4 linked regions of the Anolis sagrei genome follow. The protein of the gene in region 1 purifies or fractionates together with the protein of each later gene. This does not show direct contact. Links are inferred from orthologs where the notes say so. Each region holds a gene or a part of one and is shown in the gene's direction. Other genes may lie near its edges. The genes, in order: RNF7, TULP4, RAB40C and ASB6.

Region 1 (7,080 bases):
CATGGACCATCCCACGCCAGAGCTCCCTGTCGGCCGTCACCTCCCCCAGCTCCTTCAGGGTCAAGCCAGTCACTTCAAGCATGCCATCCATCCATCTTGCCCTTGGTCATCCTCTCTTCCTTTTTCCTTCCATTTTCCCCAGCATCATTGTCTTCTCTAAGCTTTCCTATCTCCTCATGATGTGGCCAAAGTACTTCAACTTTGTCTCTAATATCCTTCCCTCCAATGAGCAGTCAGGCTTTATTTCCTGAAGTATGGACTGGTTGGATCTTTTTGCAGTCCAAGGCACTCTCAGAACTTTCATCCAGCACCACAGTTCAAAAGCGTCTATCTTCTTTCGCTAAGCCTTCCCTATGGTCCAGCTCTCACATCCATAGTTGATTACGGGGAATACCATTCTTTTAACTATGCAGATCTATCCAGATTTTGCATTATCATTTATCATTCTGAGTCCAGGAAGAACTGGAAATGCATAGAATAGAGGAAGAGTGTCATCTATTCCTTCTCCTTCTAATAGATTATTGGTGTTATTACTATTGGTCTGCAACTGTGTATATGCAATCCCAAATTTTGTCTTGTGTTATTATTCAGCCCATAACAATCCATTTACATCATCAAGTTATCTGCATATTTCCTCCCGTTGAGTGCTGGGGTTGGGCTATTAGCTTACTTTAACCAATACCAAACCTTGCTGAAATTTACTGACATTTGCTTTGTTTTTATTTTACAGAAAATTAAGTGATTATAAAGTTTCCAGAAGATATAAAATTCAAGAGGTTATCAAAGTTCAGCAATTCTTTACATGATGCTCTACTTTTGGAAATACTATGTTGTGTTCTCAGTTTCTTCTTATGAATATCCAGAATAAGTTGATACATTTTTAAATTTTTACAAGCTTTATTTATTGCATTAAAATAAAATTATGCAACTGCCTACAAATAAAAACTAAACACTCTACATAGCAACTTAACACCCACATTGGCTCTCTTCAACTTGTATTATTTTGAAGTGGGATGTCAGTGTTATTTATAAATAACAGTGTATTATTTATAAATACACTCAGTGTATTGCGAAGTTTATATATCATCATCGGCTTTGTTTGTATGCTAATTATGTAACAAAATATATATTATTTCAGATGAAGAACATTTTAAAGGACCATCATAATTCATTCTGTCTTATCTTGGAGGGGAAAATGTACTGAGGTTGGGCTGGCTGCCAAAGAGCATGACTGCCCAGTTCTGTAGCTCCTTCTTTCACTACTTAGTCAAAATAAATTAATACCCTTAAAATGGTGAAATTATTACAACAAAAATGCAGTATTGGCTGTGGGGCATAACAGAGTACCCACATACACAAAAAGATTAATATTGGAAAGCTTTCTACCTGTCACAAACACCAATTAATTGCAGCACTCGTACAAGTTTGTGGGCCTAAAGACGGCACTTGCCTCTTACAAAGCCTCTCAAGGAAGCAGAACACAAATGCGCAGTCCCAACAAAAGCTCTTTCAAAACCAAATTGCAGAAATTTGGGGCAGATTTCAAAATCTAAATCCTTTCTCGCTACTGCTCTAATACCACTGAATTAGAGCTACCACAGCTAATAAAACCCTTGATAGTATCCCCTAAAATTACTAGGACCTCCGGGATGGTGCACATGACAATCTTTACATTACAACTCAAAGTTGAGGATCTGGGAGGAATAATTTACGGTCCAAGAATGTTCCTGAGTCCGTAGAAGGCAACTACACAATGTTGGCCAGGGTTCTTAAACATTTCCACTTGGGACCACTTTTGGCCCAAGAATTGTTTACATGACCTCGGATATATTTGACATATAAGATAGGTATAAAAACCGAACATTTACTGATAACAAATCAGCATTTGTAAGTCTTGCTAAGCAGGCTGATTTTCCTTTACATGAAGTACAGCTGAAGCATTTTCTGTAGAGTCCACTGTAAAAACTGCACAATAGATCCATGTAAATATCTAAACATAGCCATAAGATGACAGTCAGGAAAAAAAATTGTGAACTGAACATTGAACTAAGGGGAGCCCATTTGGGGTCAGAGCTAGAGATGGGAAGGCCTGGGGGGGGGGGGGGAACCAGAAAAATGGGGGAAAGTATTTTTTTCAGTGTTTTCCCCAATTTTTCTGCCCTGTGACGGCGCGTCTGGCGCAACTTGTATGTAAATATATAGTTGAATTGTTTGGTTATCTACAGTTTTCTATCAATGTCGTTTTACATCGGCTAAATTGCTCCCCCAGCTCAATTGTTTGGCTCCACCCCTTCCTAGGGAGGAGGGCAGTGCTTTCTTTTTCATTCTACCACCAAACTACTCAACAGATGGACGTGAGAAAGGCTTGGCTCTAAGGCCTTAGTCAAGTCATCTTTTACCAAACATTCTTAAGTTTGTACTCTTAAGATTCATACTTCATGCCCAGCTCATCTGGATGACATTGAGGAATCTTAAGCGCCTTCAAACCAGTCCTTTGGCATCAAGAAGACGACTTTGTGCCTTCAATATAGGTCATTGGACTGGGGTTGTGAATGTTCCGACTTCACAGCCATTGAGATACAGGGAACTTGGAAGCTACTCAGCTGGAAAACTCCTTGGACCCAAGACTCCAGAGACTGTAATGTATATTTTCTTTACCTCTTTTGGAACATCAAGTTTAATGCCTTAGAAAGATAACTGCTTGTGAACAATAAAGCCTATTTTGAGTTATCTATAGTGTCTTGATTCTTGAGAGTTCCAGTTCTCTAAAGGAAGGCAAGAAGCAATCCCCTGGGGAAAAGACGTCACGTCCATGTTTCTTTCACTAAGAACTATAGCCCCCAGACAGCGACGGCATATGCCCCCTGCCTGGGCCAACTATTTTTCTTTTGTTTCCAGGTCTTCCCATCTCTAGGCAGAACTCATGGTTTAAGAAGCTATGATTTAGGCAGTCTTATCATGGTTTTCAGAACTGCGTCCCACAGAGAACTGCACCTTTAATTGCCAAGGATGTAGAGATGGCTCCTTACATGGTTGTCATGAAATCATAATTGTCATGCCTCCATGAAGATCCTCACTGTTTCCTTTATTTAAGTCCCATTTTTAGTTAGAGGGGATTCACATTTTATGTATAGTTTGTGAAGAGGCAGATAGATAGCCCCCTTTCCTTTAAGCCCCCCTCTCTCTGTCCCTTTAAGAATCCTCTTAAGGGCAGAGATTCAGGCTATACCCAGGCTTGGACAAACCAGCCCTCAAGGTGTTTTGGACTTCAACTCCCACAATTCCTAACAGCCGGTAGGAAACACTGGAAATAACACTTGGGCCCCCAACATAGGTAGGATTTCTTTCCATAAAGGGTACCTTCGAATTACGTACTATCTGGCATTCTCCCTAATTACAACTCTTTCTAAAGCAATAGGAATGTGATCAGTGACAAAACAGCCATGACTCTGACTCAGATGTTATACCGGGCATGGGCCAACTTGGGCCTTCCAGGTGTTTTGGACTCCAACTCCCACAATTCCTAACAGCCTACCGGCTGTTAGGAATTGTGGGAGTTGAAGTCCAAAACACCTGGAGGGCCCAAGTTGGCCCAGGCCTAGTGCCTGGCATCTCTAATGATAACTCTTTCTAGCAGTGGTTCTCAACCTGTGGGTACTTGGGTGTTTTGGTCTACAACTCCCAGAAATCCCAGCCAGTTTAGCAGCTGTTAGGATTTCTGGGAGTTGAAGGCCAAAACATCTTGGGGGCCCACAGGTTGAGAACCACTGTTAAAGCAATAGAATGTGATCAGTGACAAATAGAGGCATGGCTTTGTCTCAGACTTCATACTCAACCTGCAAAGAAAAGAAAGCAACTGGATTGCTGTCAGACCACCAACAAAGTGTTAGGAATGGTGGGAGTTGAAGTCCAAAGCACCTGGAGAGGCAAAGCTTGCCCAGGCCTGGATTTGGAGGCTCACAGGCCTCTCTTCCGGTTTCCCTGGCAGGCAAAGTGCCTCAGGTACCCGGAAGTGGGTGAGCAGTGTGGCTTTTCCTTCCTTCCTCCGGCCGGCAGGGGGCGCCGGCGAGGAGAGGAGAGAGGCGAGAGAGGCGGCGTGGGGCCTACTCGTCGTAGTCTCTCTCTTCCTGCTCCTGCTGCTCTTTCCGCTCGCAGCCATGGCCGACGTTGAGGACGGAGACGAGCCGGGCGTGTCGGTGGCGCCTCACGCGGGCTCCTCCGGCTCGAAGGCAGGCGGCGGCGTGGACAAGATGTTCTCCCTCAAGAAGTGGAACGCCGTGGCCATGTGGAGCTGGGACGTGGAGTGCGACACCTGCGCCATCTGCCGGGTGCAGGTCATGGGTGAGTCAGGCCTGGCTTGGTTTGGGGGCTTCTCGGCCTACGGGCACGGGCGAACTTAGGCCTGCCGCCCTTCAGGGATTTTGGGTAAGCGAGGCTCTACTGTATTTCCATGAACCTGGCCATAATTTGAAACCAACATTTAGGGCTTTGTTCTGAGTGCCTGTGGATCCCCCAGTGGCATTGTGGGTTGAGCAGCTGAACTTGGTGGTTCCAATCCAGGGAGCAGGGTGAGCTCCCGCTGTTAGCCCCAGCTTCTGCCAACTTTTGTTGTTGTTCATTCGTCCAGTCGTCTCCGACTCTTCGTGACCTCATGGACCAGCCCACGCCAGAGCTCCCTGTCGGCCGTTACCACCCCCAGCTCCCTCAAGGTCAGTCCAGTCACTTCAAGGATGCCATCCATCCATCTTGCCCTTGGGCGGCCCCTCTTCCTTTTGCCTTCCACTTTCCCCAGCATAATTGTCTTCTCTAGGCTTTGCTGTCTCCTCGTGATGTGGCCAAAGTACTTCAACTTTGTCTCTAGTATCCTTCCCTCCAGTGAGCAGCTGGGCTTTATTTCCTGGAGGATGGACTGGTTGGGTCTTCTCGCAGTCCAAGGCACTCTCAGCACTTTCCTCCAGTTCAAAAGCACCTTCGCTCAGCCTTCCCTAAGGTCCAGCTCTCACATCCGTAGGTTACTACAGGGAATACCATGGCTTTGACTAGGCGGATCTTTGTTGCCAGTCTGATGTCTCTACTCTTTACTATTTTATCGAGACTGGACGTTGCTCTCCTCCCAAGAAGTAAGTGTCTTCTGATTTCCTGGCTACAATCTGCATCTGCCAACCTAGCAGTTTGAAAACCTAGCAGTTCGAGGGAACCACTGACCGCATAAGGAAGCTGATGAGGAAACACAACATACAAACTATCTACAGACCCACCAAGAAAATCCAACAAATGCTACGTTCAGCAAAGGACAAGAGGGATCCTCTCGCTTCTGCAGGAGTCTACCGTGTACCATGCAGCTGTGGACAAGTCTACATAGGGACCACCAAACGCAGCATTGCCCACCAAAAGGTCGGTAGTTCCAATCCAGGGAGCAGGGTGTTAGCCCCAGCTTCTGCCAACCTAGCAGTTTGAAAACCTAGCAGTTCAAGGGAACCACTGACCGCATAGGGAAGCTGGTGAGGAAACACAACATACAAACTATCTACAGACCCACCAAGAAAATCCAACAATTCAGCAAAGGACAAGAGGGATCCTCTCACTTCTGCAGGAGTCTACCGTATACCATGCAGCTGTGGACAAATCTACATAAAAGGTAAAGGTAGTCCCCTGACATTAAGTCCAGTCATGTCTGACTGGGGTGTGGTGCTCATCTCCATTTCTAAGCCGAAGAGCCAGCGTTGTCCGTAGACACCTCCAAGGTCATGTGGCCGACATGACTGTATGGAGCGCCGTTACCTTCCCGCTGGAGTGGTACCTATTGATCTACTCACATTTGCATGTTTTCGAACTGCTAGGTTGGCAGAAGCTAGGGCTGACAGCGGAAGCTCACACCGCTCCCCGGAATCGAACCTGCAACCTTTCGATCAACAAGCTCAGCAGCTCAGTGCTTTAACCCACTGCGCCCCCTTTCCTTTTAGCCACCTCTCCCTGTCCCTTTAAGAATCCTCTTAAGATAGATATCTACATAAAAACTCCAACCATCACCCAAGTCAAAAAAAGAAACACCATTAAAGCCTTGGCAGACCGTGCAAAAAGAATCTGCGAACCCCACCTCCTCCAAGATGAACTGAACCACCTCAACTGGGCTTTACAGGCCAATGGATACTCCACCTCAGACATCAGAAGAGCTGCAAGACCAAGAACAAGCCACGAGAGTAAAGACAAAGACCCACCCCGAGGAAAAGTGTTCTTGCCATACATCAAGGAAACCACTGACCGCATAGGGAAGCTGATGAGGAAACACAACATACGAACTATCTACAGACCCACCAAGAAAATCCAACAAATGCTTCGTTCAGCAAAGGACAAGAGGGATCCTCTCGCTTCTGCAGGAGTCTACCGTGTACCATGCAGCTGTGGACAAGTCTACATAGGGACCACCAAACGCAGCAGTGCCCAAACACGAATCAAGGAACATGAAAGGCACTGCAGACTACTTCAACCAAAGAAGTCAGCCATAGCTGACTTTACGGCCCCGGCCCAGCGTACCTGTCCAAACGTATCTCCTTCTACGTCCCACCTCGGAATTTAAGATCGTCTGGGGAGGCCCTGCTCTCGGCCCCACCTTTATCACAAGTGAGACTGGTGGGGGCGAGGGACAAGGCCTTCTCGGTGGTGGCCCCTCGCCTGTGGAATGCACTCCCCAGGGAGATTAGGTCATCAACATCCCTCCTCTCCATCAGAAGGAAGTTAAAAACTTGGATGTGGGACCAGGCCTTCGGGTAAGCTGGCAGTGGACAAAAGACAATGACGACCAGAGTAGGAAAGGACAATGACGATGCTAGAGGGATCATGGATTTATGAATCGACGAACATTGGCCACAATATGTTTTTATTGCTGCGGCTGTATTGTTTGATTGTTTTAATTAGTTATAATTGTTGACGATATATTGTAATTTGTATGTTGTATTTTATGAATTGTCAGGCATCGAATTGTGCCTTTTGTAAGCTGCCCTGAGTCCCCCCTAGGGGGTTGAGAAGGGCGGGGTAGAAGCACGCCAAATAAATAACTAATAAATAATAAATAAATAGCAG
Region 2 (7,878 bases), on another chromosome or scaffold:
CTTCCAATTAGCATGGGAATCTAGTAAGGTTGCATTTTAACTCCCTTTCTCTTTAATTTATATGCTGAACATATTATATCTTAAGCAGGATTAGACTCAGGGGAAGCAAATATGAAAACTGGAGGAAGGAACCTGATATGTAGATGACACCATAGTATTGGCAGGAAATAAAAAAAAGACTTGGAATGATTACTGAAGAAAATCAAGGAAAAAGGAGCAAAGTCAGGTTTATAGTTAAGCATTAAGAAAACTAAAATAATGACCAGAGTTGACTTACATAACTCTAAAGTATATCACAAAGACATTGAATTAAAGATTTTCCACTAAGGCCATCGAGCAAACTCTGCACACTATGGAAATGTGAATGGTCAAGTGATCAAGGGGTGTTACCCTGAAGGACAGGATTCCAACCGATATAGTGCACTTAATCTTCGGAGTTGCTCCGATTGTCGAGAAGATTAAGAAATCCCATCTGAGATGGTTTGGACATGGGCAACACAGAGATGAGGGCTCCATGACTAGAACCGTGCTGAATATGGAAGTTGCAGGTGCCAGGCCACGCGGTAGACCTAGAATGCGCTGGCTTGACCATTTGAAATGCGACGTGGCTAAAGCAAGACACAACAATGAGAGATGTGGCCAATAGGAACAAGTAGAGAACAAGAAGCAAACGAGTGGACCCTGTGAATTCATGAGACAAATACTAGGAAGTAGAAGATTTTCCATAACTTGGCTCAGTCATTAATCAGAATGGAAACTGTGGTTACAAATCAAAAGACTTTGGCCTCTTCTACACTACCCAAATCCCAGGATCTGGTCCCAGATTATCTGCTTTAAACAAGATTATATGAATCTCCACTGCCAGATAATCTGGGATAAACAGATAATCTAGGATCAGATCCTGAGATATAGGGGCAGTGTGAATGAGGCTGAGGACTTGGAAGGGCAGCTATGAAGGAAATGGCTCCTGGAGTGTCACATTATAGCACTGAATACTAGAGTTAAGATCACTCATTTCCCCATATTTCCAATTTCTATGTATGGTTATGAAAGCTGGTCAGTGAAAGAAATAAACTTGGTTAGAGTTAGATACCATGGGCTGCAAAATAGACAAATAGGTGGGTCCTAGAGCAAATCAAATGGAGAAGTGGGTTAAACCACTGAGCTGCTGAACTTGTTGACTGAAAGTTCACAGGTTCAAATCCAAGGGGCAGCATGAGCTCCTGCTGTTGGCTCCAGCTTCTGCTGGGCTAGCAAATCGAAAATATATAAATGTGAGTAGATCAATAGATACCACTTCGGTGGGAAGGTAACGGCACTCCATGCAGTCATGCCAGCCACATGACCATGGAGGTGCCTATGGACAACGCCAGCTTTTGAGTTTAGAAATTGAGATGAGCACCAGCTCCCACAGTTGGATATGTCTGGACTTAATGTCAGGGGAAAACCTTTACCTTAGAGCAAATCCAGTTTGAGTTCTCTCGAGAAGCCAAGTTTATTAAACAGGGAGTGCTGTACTTTGGTCATATCATGCCAAGACATAGCTCACTGGAAGAGACAATAAATTTGGTAATGCAGAAGGCAGCAGGAAAAAAGGAAGACCCCATTCCAGATGAACGGGCACAACGGAGGAAACTGTCCTGAATTTTCAAGTCCTGAGCAAGACTGTTGATGACAGGCTGACTTGGGCCCCTTCTACACTGCCATATAATCCAGATTATCAAAGCAGCAAATCTGTAAACAACTCAGTCATTAATGTAACAACCTGAAGCACTGGTTTTGTCGTTCTCATCTGATTCCACAACTGCCAAGTTTTGCTTGCGGCTTTGAAAGTCTGAATTTTTCCATCCCAGCTGTGATTACTGAGTTTATTTACCTACAGATGTATCTCACTATAAACTTCCATGGGTGTTGGTCTATTTTCCATGCTGGTTGGCCAAGAAAATTCTTGAGATCGTGAAAATATATGTCATTGCCTCAATGTTTTCTTTTTCATTCACCATTAAATTAAAAAGTGTGTTTTTCCCCTCCGAATTAATACGTTGGACATGGGTTGCAATTGAGTTGCCTTAAATTCTATGAGGTTAGGCAGAATGACTCCAATGAGGAGAAAGAGGAAATGCCTTTTCTCCTTAAAGGAAGTTCATTTCACCATTATATTTATATAAGACTTTAAAAAGGAATTTCTCAACTAGAGTTCTGTGAGGGTTTGCTGGGGTTTTGCAGGAAATTGAAATAATATTAACATTCGAGTGATGGGATATAATTTTTATGCAGGGGTTCCCTAAGTCTAGAACATTATTTCAAGAGTTCCTCCAAGATGATGACAACAACAACAAAGGCTGAGATAAGCTAGCTCCATCAATAGATGTGTCATCAGATTTAGTGCCATAGTAATGATATAGGGAGCAAGGGGATGCTCTTAAATCTCCAGGAAAAATGAAAAGCCTATTATCAACAAAACACATTACTGTATACTAAAACACACTGAAAAGGGATTACTTGATACACGCACAATCCCTGAAAGTTTAGAACTATTTCACATTACAATACTGTTAAGAAAACTATTAAGGGTGTAGCAATACTCATGTAACAACATACTACAGTTCTGTATCATTATGTGTGTGTGTGTGTGTGTGTGTGTATATATATATACACATGCATACACACACACCACTGTGCTGTTGCATCCAAGCTGCTTTAAATGTCTTCAGCATTAACGTGTCTCGACTTTCTATCAGCATGGGGGATGCTACATTGTCTTCCTGTTTGAGCATGGAACCCCACAGACTCAATGTCCACCCTGTGGAGCTGCGGTGGCGCATTGGGTTAAACACGTGTGTCGGCTGAACTCCTGACCTGAAGGTTGGTAGTTCAAATCTGCAAAATAGGGTGAGCTCCCATCTGTCAGCCCCAGCTTCCCATGTGGAGACATGAGAAGCCTCCCACAGGATGGTGGCATATCTGGGCATCCCCTGAACAACGTCCTTGCAGACAGCCAATTATCTCACACCAGAGGCAACTTGCAGTGTTCTCAATTTGCCTCTGACACGATAAAAAAATCCATGCTATTGCTTTCAAAAAAATAACAATTTATTAATTGGTATTAGGCCTGTTTCTACACTGGCACTATGATGTGAAATGCATATAGAAAGGCGGATTACATAATGAGAGATTACTACTGGGTCTTGGTTGAGAACTATTTTGTATTTGGACTCTCCTAGTCCATTCCAGTCCAATGTCCATCGTTTGACCACACAACCACCCCACACTATTTTGGGAACTCTACTTGGCTGTTGTAAATTAATGTGGATTTTTTTTAAAAAAGTGTTATTACAAGTCATCCCCTGCCATATGTTGCTGTGGCCCAGTCTGTGTATATGTGTGTTTGCGTATATATTAGTTTTGTGCATGCATTATAATGAAGGCCTTCTCCCTTGTTCCCACCAATCGCGCCTGTGAAGGGGGTGGGAGTGAGAGCAGGACCTCTCCAGATAATCGAAGAGATCGCGTGGGTTTGTACACAGAAATGCGGTCACGCAGGTAGGTGGGTCCCAAACTATTCAGGGCTTTGTAGGTAAGAACCTCCACCTTGAATTGGGACCGGAAAATGAACGGCAGCCAATGGAGCTCCTTAAACAGGGGGGTTGACCACTTCCTGTAAGTTACTCCAGTTAGTAACCTGGCTGCCACCCGTTGTACCAAAACACCTGGAGGGCCCAAGTTGGCCCAGACCTGTATAGCGCAGGGGTTCTCGACCTTCCTCATGCTGCGACCCCTTAATACAATTCCTCATGTTGTGGTGACCCCCAACTCTAAAATTATTTTCCTTCCTACTTCATAACTGTCATTTTGCTACTGTTATCAATCATAATGTAAATATCTGATACGCTGGATGTATTTTCATTCAGTAGACCAAATTTGGCACAAATACCCAATACGCCCAAATTTGAATACTGGTGGGGTTGTGGGGGGGGAGTTGATTTTGTCATTTGGGAGTTGTGGTTGCTGGGATTTGTAGTTCACCTGCAATCAAAGAGCATTCTGAACTCTACCAACAATGGAATTGAACCAAACTTGGCACACAGAACTCCCATGGCAAACAGAAAATATTGGAAGGGTTTGGTGGGCATTGACATGGAGTTTTGGAGTTGTAGTTCGCCTACATCCAGAGAGCACTGTGGAGTCAAACGATGATGGATCTGGACCAAACTTGGTACGACTACTCAACATGCCCAAATGTGAACACTGGTGGAGTTTGGGGAAAAAAGTCCTTGACATTTTGGGAGTTGTAGTTGCTGGGATTTGTAGTTCACCTACAAGCAAAGAGCATTCTGAACTCCACCAACGACAGATTTGGGTCAAACTTCCCACATAAAGCCCCCATGACCAACAGAAAATACTGTGTTTTCTGGTGGTCATTAGTGACCCCTCTGACATTCCCTCGTGACCCCTCCAGGCGTTGAGAACCACTGGTATAGAGCCTTGGGGTCCATGCCTGGTATAGACAGAGCCTTGGATGGGTCTTTAACTGCCATGGCTTAATGTTATAAGAGCATTGGAGCGGTAGTTCTGGCCTTGTCAAAAACGACAACTCCCATTACTCCATAGTATTGAGCCATGGTAATTGAAGTGGTGTTAAACTGCAGTGTAGAGAGGATCTTAACCTTTTAGGATTCTAACCCACGCGACGCCGGGGCCAAAGCCGAAAGCGCACTCTGCACGCGCTCAGAGGCGCGCTGCTCGCTGGCGTTCCATCCATTGCTGTGGGAGAGAAAGCGAGCGCGCGAGCGGAGGAGCGCGGCGGCAGGCGAGACGGAGGCAGTGGCGGCAGTGGCGGCGGGGCTTTGAGCGCAAGGCGAGCTGTGAGATCATGTGGCTGCGTCACGTGAAAGGGAGCCAGGCCCAGCAGCAGAAGCAGAAGCAGAAGCAGCCTCCACCGCCGCACGGCCAGGAGAGCCAGGCTGGGCTTGTCAGCAGCAACGGGGACCAAGCTGGCGAGGAGGGAAGCCAGGCAGCCTGGGCGAGTGCAAGCCGACTCCTTGGAGAGAGAGAGAGAGAGAGAGAGGAGGGGAGGAGAGAAAGGTCAGCCAGGCGCCCCTTCCTCTTCCTTCCTTCCTTCCTTCCTTCCTTCCTTCCTTCCTTTTCACCCGCCTTCGGATTGCAGCAGCTCTTTGCAACCCCCCCCCCCTTCCATCCTCTCTTTCTCTCCTCCCATTCTCCTGCCTCCCTTTTGTAAGATGCAGGGTCGCTTTGTATGTGTGTGTGTTTGTTTGTGTATGACAGAGCCTTGGTGCCTTTATGCTCCCCCTTCTCCCAATCCTCTCCCTCTGCTGTTTTGTGCACATCAAGGTGCATTGGTTTGTTGTCTCTTTTGTGCTCCACCGAGGCTTGTTTGTCTCTCTCTGTGTAATAGAAATGTGTGTGGGAAGTATACATGTATACACGTTTATAGGTGTTTATATTTATATATAGTATATAAGTATACCTCATCCCTGATCATGGAACAGTACCTATATTTATTTATGTGTTTGCATACATAATATATATGTGTGTTTGTGTATATACAAAAACACATATAGACACATATATACAAACACATAAAATTGTGTATGTGTGTTTTAATATGTATAATGTATATATGTGTGTATATACAAACACATACACAAATATTGTGTATGTGGGTTTTTATATATAGTGTATATATATATGTGTGTGTGTGTACAAACACATATATGCTCATATATAGAAACACATAAGTATTGTATATGTGTGTTTTATATATATAGTGTATATATGTGTGTGTACAAACACATATATACATATACACAAACAAATATTGTGTATGTGTTTTTATATATAGTGTATATATGTGCATATAAAACACACACACATATATACAAACACATAAATGTTGTGTATGTGTGTTTATATATATATATATATACTGTACATATATGTGTATGTGAGTGTACAAACATATATACATACATATATACAAACACTTAAAATTGTGTATGTGTGTTTATAGTATATATGTGTATACAAACATATATACACACATATATACAAATATACATAGATATTGCATATATGTGTTTTTATATATAATATATATGTGTGTATATGTGTATACAAACACATATACACACATATTACATATACAAACACACATAAATATTATGTTTATATATAGTGTTTATGTGTATGTGTGTATACAAACCCTCTCACACACACACACATATATATACACATATTTTGTATGTGTTTTTTTAATTTATAGTATATATATCTTTGTGAATGTGTGTGTGTGTGTGTATGTATGTATATGTGTGTGCTTATGTATGTATGTCTGTATATGGGAATATGGAGTTTGTCCATTGGGGGAGTGGGTGGGTTTGAAGGATATAGGGATGTCTAATGAGAAGAATAGAGATGGGTATTTGTGTGTGTGTTTATGTATATATTTATATGTGTGTGTGTGTTTATATCTATGTATATGTATGTGTGTGTGATTATGGAGACCAGGTTGCCCAGAGGGGTAGGTGGGCGGGTATGAAGGGTCTAGGGGTGTCTAATACGAAAGAAGAGATTGGTATTTGTGTGTTTATGTATATATTTATGTCTGTGTGTTGTGTGCATTTATATCTATGTTTATCTCTGTGTGTGGGAATACGGAGATCAGATGCCCAGAGGGGTGGGTTGGTAGGTTGAAGGGTATCCAGTGAGTAAGGAGGAATTGTGTGTGCGTGTGTGTGTGTGGAGAGGAAATGCACACTCACACCGAGAGCCAAGTGCCTTCTGCTACATGTTCTTTTGTTCTGCTGGACCACCTGATTCCTTCCTTCCTTCCCTCCCTCTCCATACATCTATGTTTTTGTCTAGCCTCTAATCTAAAAGGATGTATGGAAAGGAGGCAGTGTGTCTGAATGAAGCCCCTTGTTTGGAGGGCTGGGGTTTGCAGCAAAGCGGTCTCTCTTTCTCCAAGAGATTGTAGCCGTCTGAGAAATGTTGTTTTGTAACCTTGCGTAGGGATCGACTCTCCAGCATTACAAAGGTGTACCTGGTGGCGATTATCTCACTAGAAAGGCAGATGTGTTGCCTGAAAAAGAGGCTGGGCTCATTGATTTACGGGGGGGGGGGGGGGGCAGACTCCTCCTGGAAAGCCCACCCAGGGCCTTTCCACACAGCCCTATATCCCAGAATATCAAGGCAGAAAATCCCACTTTATCTGAGCGTGGACTCAGATAACCCAGTTCAGGGGTTTTCTGCCTTGATATTCTGGGTTATGGGCTATGTGGAAGGGCCCTGGGTGGCCTTTCCAGGAGGAGTCTGGCCCTCATAAGTCAACGAGGCCAGCCTCGTCTTTCGAGCCAGACGTTTTTGGATGTTTTTGGATGTTTATTTCTGGTGATGCTGGATGGTTCAGATATGAAAAGGCTTGAATGCTAAAACTCTTAAGGAAATAGAACATGGAATTGAGAAGTGGTGCATCTCTACACTGTAGAATGAATTCAGTTTGATTCCATGACTCAATGCTATAGTCTAGTGCAGTGGTTCTCAACCTGGGGTCCCCAAATGTTTTTGGCCTTCAACTCCCAGAAATCCTAACAGCTGGTAAACTGGCTGGGATTTCTGGGAGTTGTAGGCAAAAAACATCTGGGGACCCCAGGTTGAGAACCACTGGTGGTTGTCAACCTGTGGGTCCCCAGGTGTTTTGGCCTAAAACCCTCAGAAATCCCAGTCTGCTGTTACCTAACCTGCTGTTAGAATTTCTAGAAGTTGAAGACCAAAACAACTGGGGACCCACAGGTAGAGAACCACTGCTATAGCATCATAGGGGTTGTAGTTTTACAAAGTCTTTAGCCTTCTCTGCCA
Region 3 (6,879 bases), on another chromosome or scaffold:
GCAAAGAGATTGGCAGCCATGAGAATCCCTGGATTCGTGTCCCCCGTCTCTTTTTTCTTTTGAGGCTTCTGATAGATAGATAGATAGATAGATAGATAGATAGATAGATAGATAGATAGATAGATAGATAGACAGATAGATAGCAGGCAGGCTAGCTTGGGTACACAGGTTATTTGAAAAAAGTCGATTTTTATGTTTAGAAATATCAGTTTAATAATTTGCTTTTTATGATTGCTTCCATTAGAAAAAGCATAATCATAAAATCATAGAGCTGGAAGAGACCTCGTGGCCCATCCAGTCCAACCCCCTGTGAGGAAGCAGGAAAATCGCTTTCAAAGCACCCCCGACAGATAGCCATCCAGCCTCTGTTTAAAAGCCTCCAAAGAAGGAGCCTCAACCATGCTCCGGGGCAGAGAGTTCCACTGTTGAACAGATCTCACAGTCAGGAAGTTTATTTATTTATTTATTTCAGGCACTTCTACCCCGCCCTTCTCAACCCCCAAGGGGGGACTCAGGGCGGCGTTCTTCCTTATGTTCAGATGGAATCGCCTTTCTTGCAGTTTGAAACCATAGTCTCCAGAGCAGCAGAAAACAAGCCTGCTCCCTCCTCCCTATGACTTCCTCTCATATATTTGATACATGGACGTGGGTGAACCACAACTCCCATATTCCAAGGTCAATCACCTCCAAACCCTGACAGTATTCCTAGGTGGCCATGTTGGGTGAGTCAAGTTTGGTTCAGATTTGTCGTTGGCTGGTTTCAGTACTCTCCAGAGGTGGGTGAACTACAACTCCCAGATTCCAAGGTCAATCACTCCCAAACCCCACCAGTGCTCACAGTTGGCCATGTTGGATCTGTGTGCCAAGTATGATCCACATGTTGTCATTTGCGTTTGCAATACTCTTTGGATGTAGGTGAACTACAACTCACCCAACTCAAAGTCAATTCCCCCCAAAACCACTCCTGTGTGTTCTGTTGGCCATGGGGTTTCTGTGTGCCAAGATTGGTCCAGATCCATTGTTGGTGGGAGTTACAGTGCTCCCTGAAAGTTGGGGCCTTCTTGGAAAATACATACAAACACTGGGATTTATTGGGCAGGTGCCCGGGTTATTAGAAGAAGGCATTGTTTGTTTTGGGATGTTAGGTAATATCACTTAAGTTTGGTGGAGCTCCCACTGGCACAATGAGTTAAAGCCTTGTGCTGGCAGGACTGCTGACGGAAAGGTCGGCAGGTCGAATCTGGGGAGCGGGGTGAGCTCCCATTGGTCACCTCCAGCTTCTCATACAGGAACATGATAGAAGCCTCCCACAGGATGGAAACACATCCGGATGTCCCCTGGGCAATGTCCTTGCAGACAGCTGATTCTCTCATATCAGAAGCAACTTGCAGTTTCTCAAGTTGCTCCTGACATTAAAAAAAACCCAAAACTTTAAATTTGATCCACATCCATTGTTGGCTGGGTTCCATGCTCTCTGGATGAGGGTGAACTACAACTCCTGGATTCCTAGGGCAATCACTTCCAAACCTTGACAGTATTTATTTATTATTTATTTACAGCATTTCTGCCCTGCTTTTCTCACTCCCGCAGGGGGACTCAGAGCGGCTAACAAAGGCAACAATTCAATGCTGCAATAATTACAATAATAAAGCAAAATAAAATCATACAGTACGATACATTAAAACAGCATTAGTTATCCAATCATAAAGGCATTTCCATTGTAACAACCGTCTGGTCCAATTCACTGTTCTGGTGCCGTTAAATCCATTAGCCAAAAGCCTGGTTCCACAACCACGTCTTCAGTTTTCTTCTGAAAGAAAGGAGGGAGGCCGCTGATCTAATTTCGCTGGGGAGTGAATTCCACAGGCAGCGAGGTCACCACCAAGAAGACCCTGTCCATCATCCCCACCAGTCACATTAGCGAAGCTGGTGGGACCGAAAGCAGGGCCTCCCCAGCAGATCTTAAGACTACGAGGCGGAACATATTCGCACTTGGCCATGTTGGGTCTGTGTGCCAAGCTTGGTCCGGATCCATCGTTGGCTGAGTTTAGTGCTCTCTGGATACAACTCCCAAATTCCCTGGGCAATTGCCCCCAAACCCCGTCTGTATGCATAGTTGGCTCTGTTGGGTCTGTGCACCAAGTTTGGTCCAGATCTGACGTTGCCTCTGTTCAGTACTTTCTGGATGCAGGTGAACTACAACTCCTCAAACCAAGCTCAATTCCCACAAACCCCTGAGTATGTTCACTTGGTCATGGCGCTTCTCTGTGTCATGTTTGGTTCCTGTCAACTGTTGATGGGGGTCACTGTTTCGCTGGATGAAGGTGAACTGCAACTTGCGAAATGAAGGTCAATTCCCACAAACCCCTGCAGTATGTTCAGCTGGTCATGGGGCTTCTGTGTGCCAAGTTTGGTCCAAGTCCATTGTCAGTGGGGGCCATTGTTTCTCTGGATGCAAGTGAACTACAACTCCCAAAAACAAGGTCAAGTCCCACAAAGCCCAACACTGAGTTGTCTTGGGGCTTCTCTGTGCCAAGTTTGGTCCTGGTCCATTGTTGGTGGGGGGTCATTGTTCTTCTGAATGTAGGTGAACTACAACTCCCAAAATGAAGATCAATTCCCACAAATCCCTGCAGTATTTTCTGTTGGTCAAGGGGCTTCTCTGTGCCAAGTTTGGTCCTGGTCCATTTTCGGTGGGGGTCACCAGATGTAGGTGAACTATAACTCCCAAAATGAAGGCCAATTCCCACAAATCCCTGCAGTATGTTCAGTTGGTCATGGGGCTTCTCTGTGCCAAGTTTGGTCCTGGTCCATTGTCGGTGGGGGTCACTCTTTCTCTGGATGCAGGTGAACTAGAACTCCTGTAAATCAAGGTCATTTCTAATAAAAGATACATTAATCACACATTATGAAATGCACATTCATACACACACAGAGAGACATATATATACATATACAGTCAGGTATGTCTGTCTGTTTGTACAAAAAGCTGTTGCTAGGTGACAATCCGGTGGTTTTTTACGATGTCACTGGCTTGGCCGTTGCTAGGTGAAGTGACCCTCTGTCATGACCCAAGATCAGCCGTTGCTAGGTGAAGTTGTCTTCCTCTACGTCACTGGGGAAGGAAAGGGGCCTGTGTGTATGGAGAGGCCAGAGGGAGAGCCCTGTTGCCATGGAGACGCCATGAGGAAGGAAGGAACTCTTCCTCCCCTTCCCAACATGCTTTGTCTTATTTCACGCTCAGCGTCAGCGCACCAAGGCCGCGCGCTGCATGCCGGGACGAGTAGTCTATGGTCCCTCCCCTTCTCTCTCTCTCTCTCTGTCTCTGCCTTCTCTCCCCGCTCACCAATCCTTCGCGGCTCGTGATTGGGCGCGTCAGCCTGAGAGGGCGGGATCAAACGTCTTCAGGCTGAGTGACATTTCCCAGGCCTTTCCCTTCTCTCTCGCTTTTTCCCCGCCCGCCGTTCCTGAGTGGAGGAACCCCCCTGAGGAGGCGGGAAGTAGAAAAAAAACACAAGGAAAAGCGGACTGACTGATATGCGGAGCAGCCTATAAGAGGGCCGTTCTTCCTTGCGTTTTCCCCGCCCGCCGCTTGTCATTGGAGGCGCACTTGAGGAGGCGCGAGAGAGAACAAACACAAGGAAGGATGGGATGACTGACGTGCAGACGAGCCTATGGAAGTGCCGCTCTCCTTTACTTTTTCCACGGCTGCCGCTCCTGATTGGATGGGGCACCTGTGGAGGCTGGAGAGAGAAAAAATACACAAGGTAGGGCGGTTTGACTGACGTGCGGGGGAACCTGTGGGAGGGCGACTCTCGCTTGCATTTCCCTGCCCACCGCTCATCATTGCTGATTGACGTGTAGGGAAGCCTATGGGAGGACGCCGTAGCCGCTGCGTTGGCTCGTTCGTGCAGGAGCCGAGCGCGGCCGACTCAGAGAAGAAGGAGGAGGAAGCAGGAAGGAAACAGGCAGGCGGGCAGGTGAGGCCTAGACGGGAGGGGATTGACATCTGTCGGGAGGGTTCTGATCGTGACCTCGCCGAATGGGCCCCGGCCCGGGTCTTTTCTTATTTATTTATTTATTCAGGCAGGCCATGCTGGGTGGGTTTTTGGTTTAGTTTTGAATGCGGATTTTAAGGGGTTTTTAAAAATGTAATGCCAATGATAATTAAACCTGATATGAATGCTTGTAGATTTTATTAAAATTGTATTGAAAGATCTTCAATAATAATAATTTATAATGGCCAAAGAGATACAGGGAATTTAAGAATAATTATAATGATGATAATATATAACATAATAATAATAATAATAATAATAATAATGACCCTTGGGGTTGTAAGAGGTTGCCAAAACCAGAAATACAAGGAACATAATAAAAATGATGTTATTAATCTATAAATATTATATATTTGTAATATATGATATTGCAATAATTATAATAAGAATAAGCCTAAGAGTAAGCATAATGGCGAGATGTGATTGCCAAAAGCAGAGCTACAGGGAATATTATAATAATATAATAATAGTAATATTCCAAGTTAATAGTATATTACATAATAATAATAATCGCACTAATGGCCATTGAGATCTCTTCCTTGGGGATAAGAGATTGGCAAAAGCAGAGCTACAGGGAATAGAATAATAATAGTAGTAGAAATAATAATAGTAATAATGGCAATTGGGGTCTCTTCCTTGGGATTCAAAGAGATTGGCAAAAGCAGAGCTATAGGGAATATAATAATAATATATTATAATAATATAATAGTAATAATGGCCCTTGATGTCTCTTCCTTGGGATTGTAAGAGATTGCCAAAGAACTACAGAGAATGATGATGATGATGATGATGATAATGGCCGCCAGCATTTGGAAACAATAAACATTGACAAAGTCACACTCTGTCACCTGCAAAAGGCCAGCTTACTTGGAGCTGTGCGCATTATTCGAAAATACATCACACAGTTCTAGACACTTGGGAAGTGTTCAACTTGTGATTTTTGATGCAAAATCCAGCATATATATCTCGTTTGCTGTGTTTTTGTGTCAGTAAAATAATAATAATAATAATAATAATAATAATAATAATAATGGCTGTTGTGGTCTCTTTCTTGGGGTTGTAGGAGGTTGCCAAAAGCAGATCAACAGGGTTAAACCGCTGTTGAATTAAAGGGAGTCAGGCTGGATTCGCTCTGCCATATAATCAAGTTCAACGCAGATAATAATCCTCAGAGACGGTTCTAGAGATGGGATTATATGGCAGTGTAACTGGAGCTTCACTTGTCAGCATAGGGTGACCCCATGGATTTCATATGGTTTTCCTAAGCAAGGAGGAATGCTTGTGTTGCGGGTTCCTGCATGGAAGAATAACCTGATTGGGTGGCCCTTAAGATCCCTTCCAACTCTGTTGATTCTGAGATACTGCTAAAAACAGAGCTACGGTTTATTAAACCACCGTTGAATTAAAGGAAGTTCAAATGCATTTAGAGATCACCGTCATACCTCTCAACAAGATTGATTCTTTTAAAGATTCAGATTGCAGGAATATATAGTAATAATAATAATAATAATAATAATAATAACAATAATAACTATATTTATATTCCTCTCTATCTCCCCGGAGGGACTCAGAAAGAGAGGATTCCACCTAAATATAGAATCATAGAGTTGGAAGAGACCACATGGACCATCTAGTCCAACCCCCTAAGAGGTTGGTCATCCGTTGGGAATGTTTTGATTGTGTATTGCTACTTGACACAATAAGATTGGGCTGAATGGCCTTTGGGGTTATTTTCAATGCTAGGATTCTAAGATAATTGCTAAAAAAAACAAGAGCTACAGGGTTAAACCACCTTTTGAATTAAAGGGAGTTCAAATGTACCTCAATCATTGTTTCCCATCCCTTCCAACAATATTGATATTTTTTATTTTGGAAATATTCAGATTGCAAGAAAAGAGGATCCCACCTAAAAATCAGGAAGAACGTGTAATATGCCAGTCCAGTGGAGTCTCCTTCTCTGGAGGTCTTTAAATAGAGGCTTGATGCCCATCTGTTGGGAGTGTTTGAATTATACATTTCCTGCAGGGCAGAATAAGCTTGGACTGGATGACCCATTTCTTCCTACTCTAGGATCCTAAGATATTGCTAAAAACAGAGCTACTGAATTAAATCACAGTTGAATTAAAGGGAGTTCAAATGCACTTCAGTGGTGGCTGAATTAAAGTTAGATCAACTGTACTTCAATCCTTGCTTTCAGTCCTCTTGGTCCTAGTCTCTTCCAACTCTTGTGTTTCTATGCATAAGAGTGCTCACTCATTAAGGCCCCATTTACACTGACCATTTAATGCTAGCTTCAAACTCTGGGCATCCAAAAACAAACTCCCACAGAAGTGTGTGAGAGAAAGTCCTGAATGTGCATTAGTGCTCTGTGATTTGTGACATCGCCTCCGGACTTCAAACTGGTCCTAGGATTTCTGATGCAATACTCTGTACCGTGAAACTACTTTCTTGAGTACTTGATTGAAAACTGCATAAAATGGCCAGTATAGATGGAGTCAAAGCGTCCAGGTTTGGCTGCCAAATAAGGGATCTGAGCCCCTAGTGCCATAACTTTTGTATGGTTGTGCCTCTGGGAAGCACCTTGTAAGCAAAAACAACTTACAAATCAGGAAGTCCCAGGTAATGATCTGGCCTCTCCCATAAATAAACCCAGTATCTGGTTTTAGCTAAACTGCACTCTCTTCTCAGTCTCCCTCTGCATCACAGGGAGGGAATAATAATCTCACTTGCCATGCAATCAGCTGTGATATACATATCATTTTGGAAGTGTTGCTTAATAAGTGTTAAGTAACATTGTTAAACTGCTATTCTTCCCCCCTTC
Region 4 (7,078 bases), on another chromosome or scaffold:
TCAATAATACAGTCGCTTCATAAGCAAGGTAATGGCCATATCTAAATAAATCTCCATTGGATGGGAGCATTGGGATTTGTAGTTTCCCAAGAGCCTGAGGTGCAAACTATAGGTCCCAGGATGCCACAGCATTGGGCATGGCAGCATTCGTTCAATAATACAGACACATCGTAAGCAAGGTAATGGCCATATCTAAATAAATCTCCATTGGATGGGAGCATTGGGATTTGTAGTTTCCCAAGAGCCTGAGGTGCAAACTATAGGTCCCAGGATGCCACAGCATTGGGCATGGTGGCATTCGCTCAATAATACAGACACATCGTAAGCAAGGTAATGGCCATATCTAAATAAATCTCCATTGGACGGAGGCCTTGGGATTTGTAGTTCCCCAAGGGCCTGAGGTGAAAACTATAGGTCCCAGGATGCCACAGCATTGGGCATGGTGGCATTTGTTCAATAATATAGACACATCGTAAGGAAGGTAATGGCCATATCTAAATAAATCTCCATTGGATAGGGACCTTGGGATTTGTAGTTCCCCAAGGGCCCGAGGTGCGAACTATGGGTCCCAGGATGCCATAGCATTGGGCATGGCGGCATTTGTTCAATAATACAGACATGTTGTAAGCAAGGAAATGACCATATCTAAATAAATCTCCAATGGATGGGGGCCTTGGGATTTGTAGTTCCCCAAGGGCCCGAGGTGCAAACTATAGGTCCCAGGATGCCACAGCATTGGGCATGGCAGCATTCGTTCAATAATACAGACACATCGTAAGGAAGGTAATGGCCATATCTAAATAAATCTCCATTGGATGGAGGCCTTGGAATTTGTAGTTCCCCAAGGGCCCGAGGTGCAAACTATGGGTCCTTGGATGCCACAGCATTGGGCATGGCTTTCATTGAATAATATGGATGCTTCCTTAGAAAGATAACATTCACAGCTCCGTTCTATTGAACCCTGGGATTTGAAGTTTCCCAGGGGCCTAAGCTGCAAACGGTGCAAACCCAAGGAGGCCGTGGCATTGAGCAGGGCGTTCATTTTCGATAATATATAAGGTTTTTGAGGGGGGAGCAGCCGGGCGGCGGCGGCGCCGGAGTTCTTGGGCCTGAAGAGGCCCTTGGGAGACGGCGTTTTCCTGGAATTTGGAGGGAAAGGCTTCAAAGGGAAGGCAGGCAGGCAGGCCTTGGCAAAAGCCACGCCACCAGGCTGGGAGGAAGCCTCTCTTCCCCGCAGAAAGGCAGGCCCAGTGGAGCTGCGCCTACACTGCAGGAGTTAATCCAGTTTGGCACCACTTTGGCGCCCTGGGAGTTGTAGTTTGCCAAGGCCCGGAGGCTTCTCAGGCTGCATTCCTTCCCCAAACTCCCAGCATAATAGGATGTATGGCTGCATGGTCCCAGGCGGGATATCATATTGTGAAAATGTGATTTAAAATGTAATATATTATATGCACATACAAACACATACACAAACACATACACATACACACCAGGCCTGGACCAACTTGGGCCCTCCCTCCAGGTGTTTTGGACTTCAACTCCCACAATTCCTAACAGCCTACCGTATATATGTATATGTGTGTGTTACTAAATTATTATTATTTTGTAAATGGGCCCTTGGTATCAACCGTAATTAAAAATGTATTTTTAAAATATGGATATTTGATTAATATTACTAAGTTATTTTGTAATTTTCTTTAAAGAATGGGCCCTCAGTATGCACTGTAATTCAAATGTATTTTAATTCAGGGTGTTTGTGTGTATATATATGTTAATAACACACACACACATATATATATCACATTATATATATGTGTGTATATATCTCTCTGTGTGTGTTGTTAACACATTAGTAATATTTTTATGAAATATATATCCCAAAAATCCATAGAGGAGACAAGATAATATTTTTTTATTTTTGTTTTGTTTTTATTATATTTTAAAATTGTTTTTATTTTAATTTTATTTCAATTTCATTATTTATTTATTTATTTATATTTTTTAATATCTATCTAATATTTCTATCTATCCCTTTATCTCTCTATGTATTTTATCTAGCCTATCTATCCTTTTATCCCTCCATCCATCCCTTTATTCCTCTATCCATCCATCCATCCATCCATCCATCCATCCATCCATATATCTCCCCTCTCTATCTATCTATCCAATTATCTATCCACCCATCCCTCCATATATCCCTCTATCTATCCATCTCTTTCTTTATACCTCCATCTATCCATCCCTTTATTCCTCTATCCATCTATCTGTCTATCCATCCATCCATCTACCCCTTTATTCCTCCATCCATCCATATATCCCTCCCTCTCTGTCCATCTGTCTGTTCATCCATCAATCCATCCATCCCTTGATCTAACCCTCTCTCTTAACTATCCATCCATCCCTCGAGCCATCCATTCATCCATCCATCCCTCCCTCCATCCATCCATCCATCCATCCATCCATCCATCCATATATCCCTCTATCTATCTATCTATCTGTCTGTCTGTCTGTCTGTCTGTCTGTCTATCCATCCATCCATCCATCCATCCATCCATTCATTCATATATCCCTCTATCTATCTATCGATCTATCGATATCTATCTATCCATATATCCCTCTATCTATCTATCCATATATCCCCCTATCTTCTATCTATCTATCTATCTATCTATCTATCTATCTATCAATCTATCTATCTGTCTATCCATCCATCCATCCATCCATCCATTCATTCATATATCCCTCTATCTATCTATCTATCTATCTATCTATCTATCTATCGATCTATCGATATCTATCTATCTATCCATATATCCCTCTATCTATCTATCCATATATCCTCCTATCTTCTATCTATCTATCTATCTATCTATCTATCATCTATCTATCATCTATCTATCATCTATCTATCTATCTATCTATCTATCTATCGATATCTATCTATCTATCCATATATCCCTCTATCTATCTATCCATATATCCTCCTATCTTCTATCTATCTATCTATCTATCTATCATCTATCTATCATCTATCTATCTATCTATCTATCTATCGATATCTATCTATCTATCCATATATCCCTCTATCTATCTATTCATATATCCCCCTATCTTCTATCTATCTATCTATCTATCTATCTATCTATCTATCTATCTATCTATCTATCTATCATCTATCTATCATCTATCTATCATCTATCTATCATCTATCTATCTATCTATCTATCTATCTATCTATCTATCTATCTATCTATCCCTCTATCCCTCTATCTATCTATCTATCTATCTATCCATCCATCCATCCATCCATCCATCTATCCATCCATCCATCCATCCATCCATATATCCCTCTATCTATCTATCTATCTGTCTGTCTATCCATCCATCCATCCATCCATTCATATATCCCTCTATCTATCTATCTATCTATCTATCTATCTATCTATCGATCTATCGATATCTATCTATCTATCCATATATCCCTCTATCTATCCATCCATATATCCCCCTATCTTCTATCTATCTATCTATCTATCTATCATCTATCTATCCATCCATCCATCCATCCATCCATCCATCCATCCATCCATCCATCCATCCATCCATCCATCCATCCATCCATCCATCCATCCATCCATCCATCCATCCATCCATCCATCCATCCATCCATCCATCCATCCATCCATCCATCCATCTATACCTTTATTCGTCCATCCATCCGTCTATCCCTTTATCTCTCTCTCTCTCTCTCTCTCTCTCTCTCTATTGATCCATCGATCCATCTATCGATCCATCTATCTCTCCCCCCATCCATCCATCCACCCACATGCCTACCTACCTACCTACCTACCTCTCCCTCCCTCCCTCCCTCCCTGCCTGCCTGGGGCGTGCTCCTTTCCTCTAGTTAGGGAACACCGCCCTCCGGTGGCCGTGGGAGGCGCTGCAGGGCTTTTGGCGGAGAGCAGCCGAGTTCCCCCCGGCCAGCAGGTGGCGCCAGAGAAACCAAGCCCAGGAGATAAACTGCATTTTTGTTTTGTTTCCAAATCTACCCAAAAGCCCTCCTTCCTTCCTTCCTTCCTTCCGCTTCCTTTTCGGCTGGAAGGGAAGCCGCCTTTGCAAAGGAGAGACGCGGAAAAAGAAGAGGTTTTGCAGGAGAGAAAGGTGAGCGAGTGCAGGGGGAGACTCTCCTGATCTATGCATTAAATAATATATATTATTTTATGTTGTATTGAATATAATAAAATTAGTATAGATCAAATATCTATAATATTATATTATATTGAGTAATAATGTCCCAGATTAAATAAAATAATATAATATATAGTACATTAAATGTTATTTATTTTACTGTATTACATTTAATATCATATACATTATATTATTTTAAATCATATAATAGTTCCAGATTAAATTCAATAAATAGAATATATAGTACATTAAATGTTATTTTATTTATTTTACGGTATTAAATTTAATATAATATACATTATATTATATTAAATATTAGTACCAAAGTAAATCAAATAAATAGAATATATTACATTAAGTGTTAGTTTAATCACTCTCAACAAAAGATTCTCCCCAGGCACTTCCAAGCCATTATGATGTTAACTGTTTTTTATACTGTGTTATGATAACATTGAATTTTTGCTGTTCTGGTTGTTAACCGCTGTGAGTCGCCTGGCTGAGAACAGCGGTATACAAATAAAGTAAATAAATAAATTAAATGCTAATCAAGGTGGTCAGTTGAGACATTCACATCTAGCTCCAGCAGACAAGAGTCCTTTGTCCCACCCTGGTCATTCTACAGATATATAAACCCATTTTCCTAACTCCAACAGAACTCACTACCTCTGAGGATGCTTGCCATAGATGCAGGCGAAACGTCAGGAGAAAATGCCTCTAGAACATGGCCATATAGCCCGGAAAAACCTACAACAACCCATGAAAGCCTTCGACAATACATCAAATGTTATTTTATTTATTTTACTGTATTAAATTTAATATAATACACATTATATTATATTAAAACACATAATAGTTCCAGATTATATAAAATAATAGAATATATATTATATTCAGTGTTATTTTATTATGTTACGTGTAATATCTATAATATATTAATGTAATGTATTAAAGCATATCATCCAGATTATATTTAATCATGTTATTTTTATATTACATATAATATGATATATATCAAACTTAATGTTACATCATATAAGCATTCCAGATTATGTCAAATCATATATATTGAATTTAATACAATAATGTATTATATTAAAACATACAATTGTACCAGATTATATTATAATAGATATTATGTAAATATGCTATTTTATTAAATCTTATATCATATTAAATTTAATAAGATATTTCATATTAAATCATATAATTGTTCCAGATTATATTAAATAATAGAGCAGATATTTGATTCGATGAAATAGAATAAAATATATATTTGATATAAATTGTATTAATTCATATAAGCATTCAAGATTATATTAAATAGTATAATTATATATAAAATATTACATGTTCCTTTTAATATAGAAGCTTATAATATCAATATAATAAAATCAAAAATAAATATAATAAATCATATAATCGTTGCAGATTATATTCCGTTATAAAGGAACTCTTGTGTTGGGGTTTCAGATATATCGTTATGCATGTGCAGATCTCCCCAAATTGGAAAGAAATCCCAAATACTGGTTCCAACCATTTTGGAGAAGGGACACTCCATATCAACGATGATGAATGCAAGACATGAACCATGTGGGGACTCAGGTCCGGCCGCAAAGGCATCTCATTATGCATATGCAAATCTCCCATAAGAACCATGCTTTTGGGATAAGGAGTGTTGCTTGCTTTCAGGCCGGACGGACGATGCCCTTTCTGCACGGCTTCCGGAGGATCGTTTTCGAATACCAGCCGCTGGTGGACGAGATCCTCCTCGCTTTGGGGCTGCAGGGGGCGGAGCCTCAGGAGGGCCCCAAGAGGTAAGATTTATTTATCCTTATCCTAGTATTGTAATACTGGAGCACTTTATTACTGTGATTCATTAGCACTTTAACGAGGGGATAGTTTTCCGGTAGTTGTTACTCTAATGTTGCGCTTGATTTACTATTTTAAGCTGATAGTTGCTTGTCTCACCTTGCACTTTATAATTGTTGTCAACATTGGGAATGTTTCTGGAAAGAACTGGAGGGTATACCATGAAACCGGAAAAATGAATTATAATAATGGAAAAAAGGAGGATACATCATTAGGTTTGAACTTGGATGTAACATGTAACAGTGCAATATTAGATCCTCAGAATATGATGAGTGGAGAGGGCTGGAGGGAGGGGGGGAGTTCTGTGGGTCGGGGGGCCCCCATAGCGGTGATGGTGGGAAGGGGGAGATACGGGAAAGGGAGAAGCAAGAAACCAATTCGGCTAATTCGCGAAACAACCCTAAAAAAAATTCCAAAATGTTCTCCTGACAAGGTAAACTTGTGTACCAAGGTAGACGACCCTCCTAGATTGAAGGTGGTGCTGTTGAATGCCAGGTCTGTCAATGGAAAAACGTCAACTATCCGGGACTTAATCTACGATGAAAAGGCAGACCTGGCATGCATTACAGAGACCTGGTTGGACGAGGCGGGAGGGGTCAACCTCACCCAGCTTTGCCCGCCAGGCTACTCTGTGCAGCACCAGCCGAGATCAGGAGGGCGGGGAGGCGGAGTTGCAGTAGTCTATAAAGATTCCATCTCCTTGGTCAGGTGCCCTGCCCTACAGTCAACCTTGTTCGAATGTGTCCACCTGAGGCTAGGAGACCGGGACAGGATAGGGATTCTGTTGGTGTACCGACCACCCCGCTGCTCCGCAGATGCCTTACCTGAGCTAGCAGGGTTGGTCTCAGGCCTGGCATTGGAGTCCCAGCGGCTCATAGTGCTGGGGGACTTCAATGTCCATGCAGAGACCACTCTTTCAGGAGCGGCTCAGGACTTCATGGCCGCCATGGCAAACATGGGGCTGTCCCAACGAGTATCTGGCCCTAACCACTGTGCTGGACACACACTTGACCTGGTTTTC

What was found.
Region 2: the proteins of RNF7 (region 1) and TULP4 purify together in Homo sapiens (co-immunoprecipitation; 3 studies listed by BioGRID and IntAct, with this or other methods). This does not show direct contact. The link is inferred for Anolis sagrei from reciprocal best matches to the Homo sapiens genes RNF7 and TULP4.
Region 3: the proteins of RNF7 (region 1) and RAB40C purify together in Homo sapiens (co-immunoprecipitation; 4 studies listed by BioGRID and IntAct, with this or other methods). This does not show direct contact. The link is inferred for Anolis sagrei from reciprocal best matches to the Homo sapiens genes RNF7 and RAB40C.
Region 4: the proteins of RNF7 (region 1) and ASB6 purify together in Homo sapiens (co-immunoprecipitation; 4 studies listed by BioGRID and IntAct, counting the BioPlex papers as one, with this or other methods). This does not show direct contact. The link is inferred for Anolis sagrei from reciprocal best matches to the Homo sapiens genes RNF7 and ASB6.

Annotation. Positions count from the first base shown.
Region 1 is NC_090023.1:236,793,708-236,800,787, forward strand, and holds the start of RNF7 (RING-box protein 2), read left to right. Parts: upstream 1-4,064; 5' UTR 4,065-4,157; coding exon 4,158-4,341; intron 4,342-7,080. Other genes in the region: uncharacterized protein, read left to right, coding at 731-742. UniProt on the Homo sapiens protein: Catalytic component of multiple cullin-5-RING E3 ubiquitin-protein ligase complexes (ECS complexes), which mediate the ubiquitination and subsequent proteasomal degradation of target proteins.
Region 2 is NC_090021.1:69,018,167-69,026,044, reverse strand, and holds the start of TULP4 (tubby-related protein 4), read left to right. Parts: upstream 1-4,874; 5' UTR 4,875-5,085; intron 5,086-7,878. UniProt on the Homo sapiens protein: May be a substrate-recognition component of a SCF-like ECS (Elongin-Cullin-SOCS-box protein) E3 ubiquitin ligase complex which mediates the ubiquitination and subsequent proteasomal degradation of target proteins.
Region 3 is NC_090034.1:27,646,653-27,653,531, forward strand, and holds the start of RAB40C (ras-related protein Rab-40C), read left to right. Parts: upstream 1-3,866; 5' UTR 3,867-3,980; intron 3,981-6,879. UniProt on the Homo sapiens protein: RAB40C small GTPase acts as substrate-recognition component of the ECS(RAB40C) E3 ubiquitin ligase complex which mediates the ubiquitination and subsequent proteasomal degradation of target proteins.
Region 4 is NC_090031.1:3,738,612-3,745,689, reverse strand, and holds the start of ASB6 (ankyrin repeat and SOCS box protein 6), read left to right. Parts: upstream 1-4,078; 5' UTR 4,079-4,161; intron 4,162-5,877; 5' UTR 5,878-5,889; coding exon 5,890-6,002; intron 6,003-7,078. UniProt on the Homo sapiens protein: Probable substrate-recognition component of a SCF-like ECS (Elongin-Cullin-SOCS-box protein) E3 ubiquitin-protein ligase complex which mediates the ubiquitination and subsequent proteasomal degradation of target proteins.